3 linked regions of the Tamandua tetradactyla genome follow. The protein of the gene in region 3 interacts with the protein of the main gene of each other region in a pairwise test. Links are inferred from orthologs where the notes say so. Each region holds a gene or a part of one and is shown on either strand. Other genes may lie near its edges. The genes, in order: NOL3, CCDC57 and tyrosine-protein phosphatase non-receptor type substrate 1-like.

Region 1 (3,698 bases), on a different chromosome or scaffold from region 3:
AGGGGGCGTCGAGAGGATGGGTGTAAAGCGCCCAGGTATTGCCAGGCCCGGTGGGCGCGGGCTGAACTTCCTTCTCCCCAGCCCCACATTGACTCATCTGTTGGCATGCACGGGGCAGGGAGGGAAAACCAACTACGCGAATATCCTCAGTCAGCACGCGGGCTCTGAGGGACCGGCTCCCCCAGCCCGGGGAAGAACGCCCCCACTCCCCGCCCCCTCCACCCCCGGGATTCCAGGCAGCCCTAGCCGCCCCACCCCCGCCGCAGCTGCTGCCCCCACTCGGCCCAGCCCTTTCTGCACTGTCATCTGCCCGGCCGAGGCTCGATCCGTGAGTGAGGCCGCCCGCCCGGAGCAAACGGGACCGGGGGAGGGAAGGGAAACCTTGGGCAGAATCGGCGTCCGTCACCACCAGCCGCGCTCGGAGGTCTGTGTGCGCCCCGCCCCTCCGCGAGAGCCTGAAGTGGCGCGGAGGTAAGGGCATCCTTGCGGTCGCGAAAGTGCAGAGGCTCCCGCAGTTTCCCACGACCTGGCAGAGAGGTTAGAGTGGGGGCCGTCGGTCGGGGGCTGGCTGTCTGCTTCTAGGGCCGCCTGACCTCCAGGATCTGACCAATGGTCCTTTAAGGACTGGCTCCGCAGCCAATTGGCAGCGAGGTAACCTCGTTGTTTCCTTACGAGCAGTGAGAGCCTCAGGAGTTCCTAGATCAGCCGGGGTCTCTGCTTCCCAAATAGGACACATTATCTCACTGGAATAATAGGATACATTAGCATGTAAACAATCTAGGGAGGAGTGAGGGAGAAAAGGTGCAATCTGCACCCCTTCCTCTATGCCTATCCTGGGTGGGTGCTGCCTCCTCTTTCTTCCCCACATACCCCACCCCGCCCCCACCCTGTGATGGGGGTGAAAGGGAGCAGCCTTCTTTGAAAACTTTCAGCTGAAGAGGACAGAGGGTCCTGTCATATCTCAGTTCAGTGATGAGGGCATATGCTGTTCGCTGGTGCATGCAGGAAAAGGAACCATTCTTCCTTTGGGAGACTCGGGCATTGGGGCAGACAGCAGAACATTAGAGTCTTAGAGGGTGGGGCCATGGAATGGAGGGAGGAGAAGGACAAGCTTAGGTACAGCATCTGCAAAGGATCAGAAGCACCAGGGCCTTCGGGAGTTCTCAGAGCTGGGAGAGATGGAGGGAAATGTGGACAGACCTGACTGACCAGGGTATGGGAAGTAGTCAGAGCAGCCAGGCCAGATAATCTGGATTCTCTCTGATAGGCAGCGGGGCTGTGAGAGACAGGAGTGGTTAGGGCTAACATCCTGCTAGGTGGGTGGGGGGTGTGGGGGGGAATGGAAGGGAGCTGCATTACAGACTATATTATAGTTCAGACTGGAGCAAATCAGAGTCTAGCTCTGCTGCTTGGTCTCTCTGAGCTTGTCTCATCTGTAAAATGGGGACAATAAATCCTACTCCAGAGGGCTGTCAAAATCACTGTGCTGTGGGGGTGGTGGAATGGGAGTGAGAGGTGCCTAAAGGGACTGGTATAGAAGATAAGGTGACAATGAGGATCCCTGATGGGAGCTGATGGAAACTCAGACTGGAGCAGCAGTACTTGGATGTAACGGACAGGACATGAAGGAAGAGTGAAGGGCAGGAGGGTAATCCTGGTTTCTGTTTGATGACCTGGAGGAGAGATTGACACTTTGATATGCCAGGAGGGGTCTGAGACACGGAGCTGGAGAGGAAGAACTGGCAGACAGGACAGGGGCTAGGACCAAACCCTGACTCCTAGACAAGGCCTCTTAGAGCCTGGTAAGTAGGTGGAGGAAAGACCCCCAAGGTAGATACCACCCTGGGAGAGCTTAGGGGAGAAGAGGAGAGGCGGACTATCGCCGACGTTTAGGGGACCGGAACAGGAGCCTGAGGAGGAGACAGGGAAGAAGGAGTCCCCGAAGCAGGAGGACGACGAGTCCCGCGCGATGGCCTCCAGGTCCTGTGCTGCAGCGCTGTCTGGTCGGAGTAGAGGTGAACTTCAGCCCCAGCAGGGGTGTTCACTGCGGCCCTGGGAGAGAAGACGGGGGCGGGGAAGTCCCTGCCCCACTAAGACCGCCCCACTACTCCTTTTTCCCTCCGCCAGGCTGTCGGGACAATGGGCAACACGCAGGAACGGCCGTCTGAGACGATCGACCGCGAGCGGAAACGCCTGGTAGAGACGCTGCAGGCGGACTCCGGGCTGCTGCTGGACGCGCTGCTGTCGCGGGGCGTGCTCAGCCCGCCCGAGTACGAGGCATTGGACGCGCTGCCTGATGCTGAACGCAGGATGCGCCGCCTGCTGCTGGTGGTGCAGGGAAAGGGCGAGGCGGCCTGCCTGGAGCTCCTGCGCTGTGCGCAACGAACCGCGCAGGCGCCTGACCCCGCCTGGGACTGGCAGCACGTGGGCCCCGGTGAGCGCCTTGGGCAGAGCAGGGGCGGGGTGGGGCCTGGAGAGCCGAGCAAAAGCCCAATTGGAGTTGGTGGGAGCCACTTGCCAGAGAGGAGGGACGAGTGCGGGCGGAGGAAAGCAGGGACGGGTAAATTGAAACTGAAGACAGCGCCCCCTCTCTTCCAGGCTACCGGGAACGCAGCTACGACCCTCGGTGCCCGGGCCACTGGACGCCTGAGGCACACGACTCGGGACCTGCTTGGCCCGGGCTGCCTAGAGCTTCAGACAGCGACGATGTGGGGGGTCCTGAGGGCCGCGAGGAGGTACAATCCGGGATCCCCGAGAACCCCGAGCTAGAGCAGGAAGCCGAAGCCCCCGAAGAGGCTGAGCCGGAGCTGGAACCCCAAGTGGATCCGGAACCCGAGATGGAGGCAGAACCAGAGCCTGAACTGGAGCCAGAGCCTGAACTGGAGCCGGAGCCGAATTACGAGGAGGCGGAGGAGTCGGAAGGTGTGAGGAAGGCTGCCCCAACCCAGAGTGGCCTGGGGGGCAGCAGGCGGGTCCCCATCTCCTTAACTTTCCTCCCTTTATTTTATGGCCTCTAGATTCCTGAAAATCGGAGCACTGACTGGCCCCTCTCCGCTCAAGCTGGATAGGATCTCAGACCCAGCCTGGGCTGCACAGATGCCACAGAGGTTTTGTCTGGCGCAGATTGGAAATGAATAAACCCCAGACGGTCGGCTGGGCTGGGCTCTCCGCGATTCTGGCTCTTTCCCCAGGAATTGGGAGTGGGGTGGGTGGGTGGGTGGGTGGGTAAGCCCATGCCTTGAGTTCCAGTGACCTGGGCACTCCATGTCCCTCCAGGCCCAGCCACCCAGTCTTCAGTTTTATTTCTGCCCTCAGTAGCTCAAGCTACACCCCTGGAGACCCCAGGCATGCACTGGGACAAAAGACTGACCCCTGGTTGCCGCTCCACAGCCCTTTTACCCTCCTGAGCCATTTAGGGGCCTGTGTAGGCAGGCTCCAGCCTCCCTTCATGGAAGCCTCTGGGCCTGGTGCAGAGAGGAAAGGAAGGGGGACTTCTCTCCATTTAAGGAGGGTCTAGAGCTTAGAGCCTTGGGAAGTGCGAGTATTAGACAGGATTATTAGACCTTGGGTAGACAGAGCCCAAACACTTCATTGTAATTGCTGTTTTAATCGTCTGACTTCCACTGCACTGGGAGCTCAGAGAGGGTTTTGGCCGGAACTGGCCCATTGAAAATGCTCTATACATACTCGATGAATGA
Region 2 (3,742 bases), on a different chromosome or scaffold from region 3:
GCTGAGTGAGTCTAGCCAAAAACTAAAAGACAAATACTGTATGGTCCCAATGATGTGAATCGACACTCGAGAATAAACTTGGAATATGTCATTGGTAACAGAGTTCAGCAGGAGTTAGAAACAGGGTAAGATAATGGGTAATTGGAGCTGATGGGATACAGACTGTGCAATAGGACTAGATACAAAAACTCAAAAATGGACAGCACAATAATACCTAATTGTAAAGTAATCATGTTAAAACACTGAATGAAGCTGCATCCGAGCTATAGGTTTTTGTTTTGTTTTGTTTTGTTTTGTTTTGTTCTTACTATTATTACTTTTATTTTTTTTCTCTATATTAACATTCTGTATCTTTTTCGGTTATATTGCTAGTTCTTCTAAACCGATGCAAATGTACTAAGAAATGATGATCATGCATCTATGTGATGATGTTAAGAATTAGTGATTGCATATGCAGAATGGTATAATTTCTAAAAAAAAAAAAAAAAAAAGGACAGCACAATACTACCTAATTGTAATGTAATTATGTTAAAACACTGAATGAAGCTGCATCTGAGCTATAGTTGTTTTTTTTCTTATATATTTTTGTATTTTTTATTTTTATTTTTTCTCTATATTATCATTTTATTTCTTTTTCTGTTGTCTTGCTATTTTTCTAAATCGATGCATATGTACTAAGAAATGATGATCATACATCTATGTGATGATATTAAGAATTACTGATTGCATATGTAGAATGGAATGATTTCTAAATGTTGTGTTAATTTTTTTTAATTAATAAAAAAATAATAATGCAATCAAGCTGTATAATTAAAAAACTTATACTTATTAATCCCCCCAAATGAAACTTATTAATCTACGTAAATGAAAAGGTGGGGGTTTCCTGAATAAACAAAGTGATCCCTCTTTTAAATGGAAAAAATAAAAAATAAAATAAATAAATAAACAATCATGAAAGAGTATAGCCCATGGAGTAAAAATATATGAGTGCATACTAACATGGAAAAAAAAACTAAATAAATAGATAAGGGAAGGAGAAAGGGAAGTTTTTCCTTACAATAAAATTCCAACTAATAAATGTGGAAGGAATGATGGAAATAGAAAACCACCACTTCGCAAATACCACATTTCAGGCAAGACTCACCTAAGGATGCTAACACCAGTTGTAGAAATGATATTTACAGGTCTCAACGTATCCCTGCAAACAAACACGAGACACTTCTTATTTGCAAGGTTAAAATAGTTACTTTACAATTGAGAAACCTGGCAGACACCACTTTTATCAAGACAGTAAAGGGACAACCCTGCATCACCAGCCTGAAGGATACAACTTCAATTTTGAGGTTTTTCTTTCCAAAAATACAGAACTTTACATTAACCCTGGGGAAACATCAGACAAACTCCATTTGCAAGGCATTCGATAAAATACCTGGCTAGAACCCTTCAAAAACGTCAAGGTCATTGTTAGGTCGGGGGAATACGGGAGGGCTCAATGGCTGGACTCATGAAGTCACTTCGGAACCGGAGGTGAACTGTTACAACAAAGATCTTTACGCAGCAAACATCGGCTCACTCATTGCTCCACGGACATCTGACCGCCCGCTGCTCAGCCCACTAGCATAATACTCCTTAGTTTAATGTGCCGCCCCTTTCATGTCATCACCTAACCCCTGCCCTTAAAAACTGCACTCGCCAAAGCCGTGCGCGGACTCACCTCACTCCAACTTGGGTTCGGTGAGCTCTGCCCGAGAGCGCAGCCAATAAACCACGCTCACTTAAAATCATTTCGTCTACCTTCCTTTCTCTCAAAAACCTCATATCTTAAAACCTTTCAGTCATGAAAGAAAGCCCAAGGAACTGACCCAGATTAAAGAACAACAACAAAAGGAGGCAGCGGAATGGGGTGCAGGATCCCGGACCGTTACTGCACTCTGCCAATGCTGATGTCCGGGTTTGTTTTGGGGAACCTGGTAAAAGGGACAGGCGAGTTCTCTGTACTGTTTTTGCACCTTTAAAAAACCAAACAAACGAAAAAATCAACCCGGGGAGCCGGAGCGCCGAGGTTCGAATCCCTCCTTCCTGGCTGGGGGCCGCGGGGAGGTGTCCCTTCTCGGAGCCCGGCTCATCAGGCCCCAGGCCCAGCCATGGAAGCAGAGCCCGAGAGAGGGGCCTGGCGCCCCGGGAGGGTCGTGCCCGGTCGTCCCGCCTCACCGCGTCAACGCAGGGAGGAGTGCCGGCGGTGCCGCGGGGAGAAAGACGGCGAGGCGCCTCGCGCGGGCCAAGCCCGTCCCAGCAGTTTGAGAACGATCACCCCCATTCGGCGGGTGACGGCAAGTCCTCGGGTTCGGCCCGAGGGGATCAAGCGCTGAGGCGCCAACGCCGGATTTCCACGGAAAGTCACGAGCCGCGAGGACCGGCCGGGGCCGAGAGGGGGGCGGGTCGGCGCCCTGCGCCTCTCCCCACCGCGCCCTCCCAAGTTTCCCGCCCGGGGTCCCGCGACCCGGGTCCTACCCGGAATGCCAGCCCCGAGCGGCTCCCAGCGTCGCCGCGTCGCCATAGCAATCCCGTCGGCCCGCCCAGCCCAGGGCGCGCTCGGTACAGCGCTCGGGTCCCGCCGAGGGGAAACTTAGGTCCGGGCCCCGGGTTCCGGCGCCCTCCCGCGCGCAGGCGCCGACGAGTCCGTGGGGGAGCGGGGCGCAGTCGACCAGGAGGGGGCCTATGGGGAGGGGCCGAACCCAACCCTGCCGGGTTCTTCGGGCCGTGGAACCTCCGACACTTCGCTGCAGGCCCCGGCCTCTCCACCTACCCCTGGGCGAGCCCGGGAAGGAGCTCCGGGGCTCGGGGGCTCGGCCGCCGGGAGAGCCCGGGGGCTACACTCGCTCCCTCCGCCAGGTCCCCCGGCGGCGGCTCTCCTAACCCCAAGGGGAGCTTATGAGCTTTCCGAGCCGGGTGGGGTGCACAAGGACTGCTCATGGGTGGAAGGAGGGCTGCACGCGGGGGGTCCTGGGGGAAGGAGGGCTGCACGGGGCGGGGGTCCTGGGGGAAGGAGGGCTGCACGGGGCGGGGGTCCTGGGGGAAGGAGGGCTGCACACGTGGGGTCCTGAGGAAGGAGGGCTGCACGCGGGGGGGGCCTGGGGGAAGGAGGGCTGCACGGGTGGGGGCCTGGGGAAGGAGGGTTGCACGCGTGGGGTCCTGGGGGAAGGAGGGCTGCACGCGGGGTGTCCTGGGGGAAGGAGAGCTGCACGCGTGGGGTCCTGGGGGAAGGAGGGGTGCACGGGGTGGGGGCCTGGGGAAGGAGGACTGCACGGGGTGGGGGCCTGGGGAAGGAGGACTGCACGGGGCTGCACGCGGGGGGGGGGGGGCCTGGGGGAAGGAGGGCTGCACGGGTGGGGGCCTGGGGAAGGAGGGCTGCACGCGGTGGGGGGCCTGGGGGAAGGAGGGCTGCACGGGTGGGGGCCTGGGGGAAGGAGGGCTGCACGCGGGGGGGACCTGGGGGAAGGAGGGCTGCACACGGGGGCGGCCTGGGGGAAGGAGGGCTGTACCTGGGGCTCCTGGAGGGCGTAAGAGCTGCACCTAAGACGGGGGGCGGGACTGCTCCTGTGAAGGGGCGTTTACCTTGGGGTACCAGGCACTGCGCTAGGGGCGGGTGGCTTCTGTGGCCGGTAGGGGATTGTCTTGGCCTCGTCGGAGAAGCGGGACTGGGTCCAAGGGGACTGCGGGAACCCGACCCTCTCGCTGCTCC
Region 3 (3,742 bases):
TGTCTGGTCTCTGCAGTGGACATTCCTGGTGGACGCAGACCTGATGTTGCTCCCTGTTGTTTCTCACACACACAAAGACATGAGAATTCCCTTGTACGTCAATGTTGCCCAGAACCCTGCGGGTTCCCAAAGATTGTAGCCAAACATTTTATTTATTTATCAAACACCTGGAGCACTTGTGGCAGGCTAGACATTGGGCTAAGTGATTTACAAATATCAATTCAGAGAATCTTCCCAACAGCCTCCTGAAGTGGATACCCACGTTGGCCCCATTTCACATACGGGAACTGAGGCACAGAAATAAGTTATTTCCCCAATGCTACAGCTCCTAAGAGGTGGCGACAGGATTTGAACCCAGGGAGTCTGGTCCACACAGTCCATAGCTGCCCCCTGCCTGCCCCCCCCCCCTTTCTGAGCAGGACAGCAGGACAGCAGGACCCAGTATTTGGCCAAGCCCCTGTGGGATGGGGGGTGGGGGCTGGGGGTAGGGAAGGATATCACTTGGTAAAAGCTTTTAGCCTGGGAACCAGGAATTCAAATTTAGCTTCTACTCCTGCTCTTGCTGTGTGGCCTTAGGAAAGGTCTCTCCTCTCTCTCTCTCTCTCTTCCTCAACTTCTTGTTTTCAAGTCTAGACCTCACCCCTACCCTCACCCTCTTTGTTCAGAGTCTCTGAACTGCCACGTGAGGCAAAAGTGGTTTCTTCTGAGCTTATTTCCAACCCAATTATCCGAGGGTCTTGGACCCCTTCCCCTCTCACAGCCCCCAGCCTTCTTCCGCCAGGCGCCCAGGGCACCCCACTCTCCTCATCCATCTGGCCCTCTCCTCTCCGACCCAGGTCTCTTCTCCCGGTCTCCTCCTTTCCCTCCTCTTCCTCACTGTTTGCCATCTTCCCAGAGCCGCCTCAGTGCCCTCTCCCGGCCCACATTGCGGCTGCCTGAGCCGTCCCCACCCCCTGAACCTGCCACCCTTGACAGAGAGGCAAGAGGTCCCAGGGAAGCCCCTCTGGGGAGGGCCCCGGGACGCTTGTCCTCTCACCTCCCTGCCCCAGCCCCCTTCGCAATCCCCTTCCTCCCTCCGCCTCTTTTCCAGGCGTACTGAAGTCCTGCCTACACACACGCTATTTTTGTACCATCACTCTCTCCTTCCTCTTCCCCTTCCCCCCACATTCACTTACTTCCTGCTTTTTCCTTTACCTCGTCCCAGCTTTGAAAGAATCGGGGCCCCTCTGGCCTGCACCCACCCCCAAGAGGGGCCCTTCAGCTGCGGGACACGGCTTGGGGCGGGGCCATTGGGGGAGGGCGAAAGTCGGCGTGTCCCCGCCCCCCAGCCTCCACTCCTCGGCCACCTCCAGCGTCTGGCCAGCGGGCAGCAGGGACGACCAGCGTCCCGAGGCCAGGGGAGGTCGGCCGCAACTTCCCCGGTCCACCTTAAGAGGACGATGTAGCCGGCTCGCGGCGCTGACCTTAGAAAAACAAGTTTGCGCAAAGTGGAGCGGGGGGCCCTCCCGGCCTCTGGGCAGCCCCCGGCGGCGCTTGCACAGCCTTCCAGCCCTCCCTGGCGGCTCAGGTCCGAGCTCGGCAGGGAGAGGGAGATGGAGGAAGGAGGGTGACGGTTCGGGACCGGGAGGGTGCCAGGGAGACGGGGCGGGGGGGGGGGGGGGAGGCGGGAGGGGAGGCGGGGAGACGAGCCGCGAAGGCTTCTGAACTGGCACATTGTTGGGGCCGCAGGCTCGTCTGGTCCCGAGCCCGAGCGGGGTGCGCAGGCGGCGGAGGCTCGCGGGGCCGCCTCCCGGGGCTGCGGCCGTGGGCCGGCCGGAGGTGCTGCGGCCCCGCGCGGCCGCGGAGCGGGGGAGAGACGCTGCCCTCCCTCCCCGCCCCCCGGGGCGCGCTGCCGGCGGGCGCTCGCGGAGACTGTGTCGGCGGGCCGGAGCCCCGCAGCCTCCTCGGGCGGGAAGGAGGGAAGAGGGGGGAAGGGCCGGAGGGAGGGGGCCGAGCTGTCGGCGGGGGCGGGGGCGGGGGCAGCGGCCGGGACTGCGGGCCGAGAGCGAGCCGAGCCGCCGGCGCCGCGGAGGAGCCCGGGCGGGGCAGGTGGGCAGCGGCGGGGGCGGCTCGGCGGTGCCTGCCCCGCGCCCCTGCCTCGCGTTTCTCCTCTCTCCCGCGCTCTGTCTGGATCCGCGCGCTGCCTCGCTCACTCCTCTCTCTCTCCCTCTCTCTCTCACTCTCTCTCTCTCTCTCTCCCTCTCTCTCTCTCTCTCTCTCTCTCCCTCTCCTCTCTGTGTCTCTGGCTCTCTCCCTGGCTCCCTTGGGTCTGTTTCTCTCTCCTGCCGCCTCTCCCTGGCCGTCGCTGGCTTTATTTCTCGCGCGCTTGGGGTCTCTCTCCTTTTCCGTCTCTTGATCTCTCCTGGGGGAGGGAGGGGGGTGTCCGAAAATCGCGGCTGCGACGGCGGTTCCTAAGCCGCTCCAGGAGCCCGTTCTGGGGAGGGGAGGGGTGCAGCCCGGCCAGGAGGGGAGGGGAGTGGGGGGTGGAGAGTAGTGGGGGAGCCTTAGTCATTTCCCCGCTTCTAGCCCGCGCCCGCCCGAACGCGCACTCACCGCCGCTCTCCCTCCTCGCTCCGCAGCCGCGGCCCATGGAGCCCGCCGGCCCGGTCCCCGGCCGCCTCGGGCTGCTGCTCTGCCTGCTTCTCGCCACGTCCTGCGCCTGGCCAGGTAAGCATTCCCCGCTCCAGCCCCGCTGTCCTCCCCACATTGCAGGCTCAGGCCTCTCAGACCGCGGCTCGGAGCTACTAGGCAAATGTGGAGGGGAGGAGATACCTATAATCTGGGTTACAGGTGCGGAAACTGAGCCCAGAGAGGGCCTTCGACTTGCCCAAGGTCACACAGCCCAGGAGAGAACTCGGGTTCTCGCTTGCAGTCTGTCTTAACTCTGGGTGTGCCGGCTGGGTGCTGGGCACCCGGGCATTGGGAGATGAGTTGATTCAGTGTCCAGCCTGATGGAGGAGGCAGGCTGTATGCACCTCTCAGAGCAAGGTGCTCCTGGCCGCTCTAAAAGCTCTCAGGCCCTGGACTATGCTTTCCACATGTTTGACTCAGGATCTGAGAGAGGGAGTGGGGCAGAGGTCATCCCATGCTGCCTGGAATGGAACAGTAACAGGGTGTTGCAATTAGGAAAGTGTGAGAGCTCCACTTGGTGCGCAGAGGAAAACAGCATTACCGCTTATTGGGGGAGAGGGAGGAAGGGAGACTGGTTACCCTGGGGTGAGGTGCTGGGAACAACAGAGCCTCATGTGAAAACGGAGCATTGCCCCTGTGGTTGCCTCTAGCTGGATGCTTGTGCTCTGTGCCACTCTCCCGGCTACCCCCTTCCTCCTGCCTTCCCCTGGCTTCCAGGCAGCTCCCTGCAGCTCAGGTGCTCAGTGGGACCGTTACCTGTGGCTCTGAAAGCATGTCTTTTTATTGGCCTACATCAACACCTGGCTGCCGCCTGCAGGCGGGCTCTGACGGCTAGTGTGTGCAGTAGCCAAGGAGTGAGGTCACCATTTAGGAGTCCCACTTCTTAAAGGGGGTTGGCAAAAATGTGGGTCTCCTGGGAGGGCATGAGGGGCAGAGACACAGCATGGCTGGCGAGGGTGGAGACTGGGGATTCTGTCTTTTGGTCTCCTGAGGTGGTGGTGTCGGCAGCAGCGGAGTCTCTGTACCTCCCAACCCTTGATGAAGAAGATAGAGATGAGCTGCGCATCCCCCC

The links.
Region 1: the proteins of tyrosine-protein phosphatase non-receptor type substrate 1-like (region 3) and NOL3 interact in a two-hybrid assay, tested with the Homo sapiens proteins (2 studies listed by BioGRID and IntAct). The two-hybrid records come from large-scale screens. The link is inferred for Tamandua tetradactyla from reciprocal best matches to the Homo sapiens genes SIRPA and NOL3.
Region 2: the proteins of tyrosine-protein phosphatase non-receptor type substrate 1-like (region 3) and CCDC57 interact in a two-hybrid assay, tested with the Homo sapiens proteins (2 studies listed by BioGRID). The two-hybrid records come from large-scale screens. The link is inferred for Tamandua tetradactyla from reciprocal best matches to the Homo sapiens genes SIRPA and CCDC57.

The regions. Positions count from the first base shown.
Region 1 is NC_135342.1:60,868,743-60,872,440, forward strand, and holds NOL3 (nucleolar protein 3), read left to right. Parts: upstream 1-1,087; 5' UTR 1,088-2,015; intron 2,016-2,127; 5' UTR 2,128-2,139; coding exon 2,140-2,434; intron 2,435-2,598; coding exon 2,599-2,924; intron 2,925-3,017; coding exon 3,018-3,068; 3' UTR 3,069-3,168; downstream 3,169-3,698.
Region 2 is NC_135332.1:74,526,731-74,530,472, forward strand, and holds the start of CCDC57 (coiled-coil domain-containing protein 57), read right to left. Parts: upstream 2,614-3,742; 5' UTR 2,558-2,613; coding exon 2,512-2,557; intron 1-2,511. UniProt on the Homo sapiens protein: Pleiotropic regulator of centriole duplication, mitosis, and ciliogenesis. Critical interface between centrosome and microtubule-mediated cellular processes. Centriole duplication protein required for recruitment of CEP63, CEP152, and PLK4 to the centrosome.
Region 3 is NC_135327.1:23,659,151-23,662,892, forward strand, and holds the start of tyrosine-protein phosphatase non-receptor type substrate 1-like, read left to right. Parts: upstream 1-1,322; 5' UTR 1,323-1,567; intron 1,568-2,618; 5' UTR 2,619-2,627; coding exon 2,628-2,706; intron 2,707-3,742. UniProt on the Homo sapiens protein: Immunoglobulin-like cell surface receptor for CD47. Acts as docking protein and induces translocation of PTPN6, PTPN11 and other binding partners from the cytosol to the plasma membrane.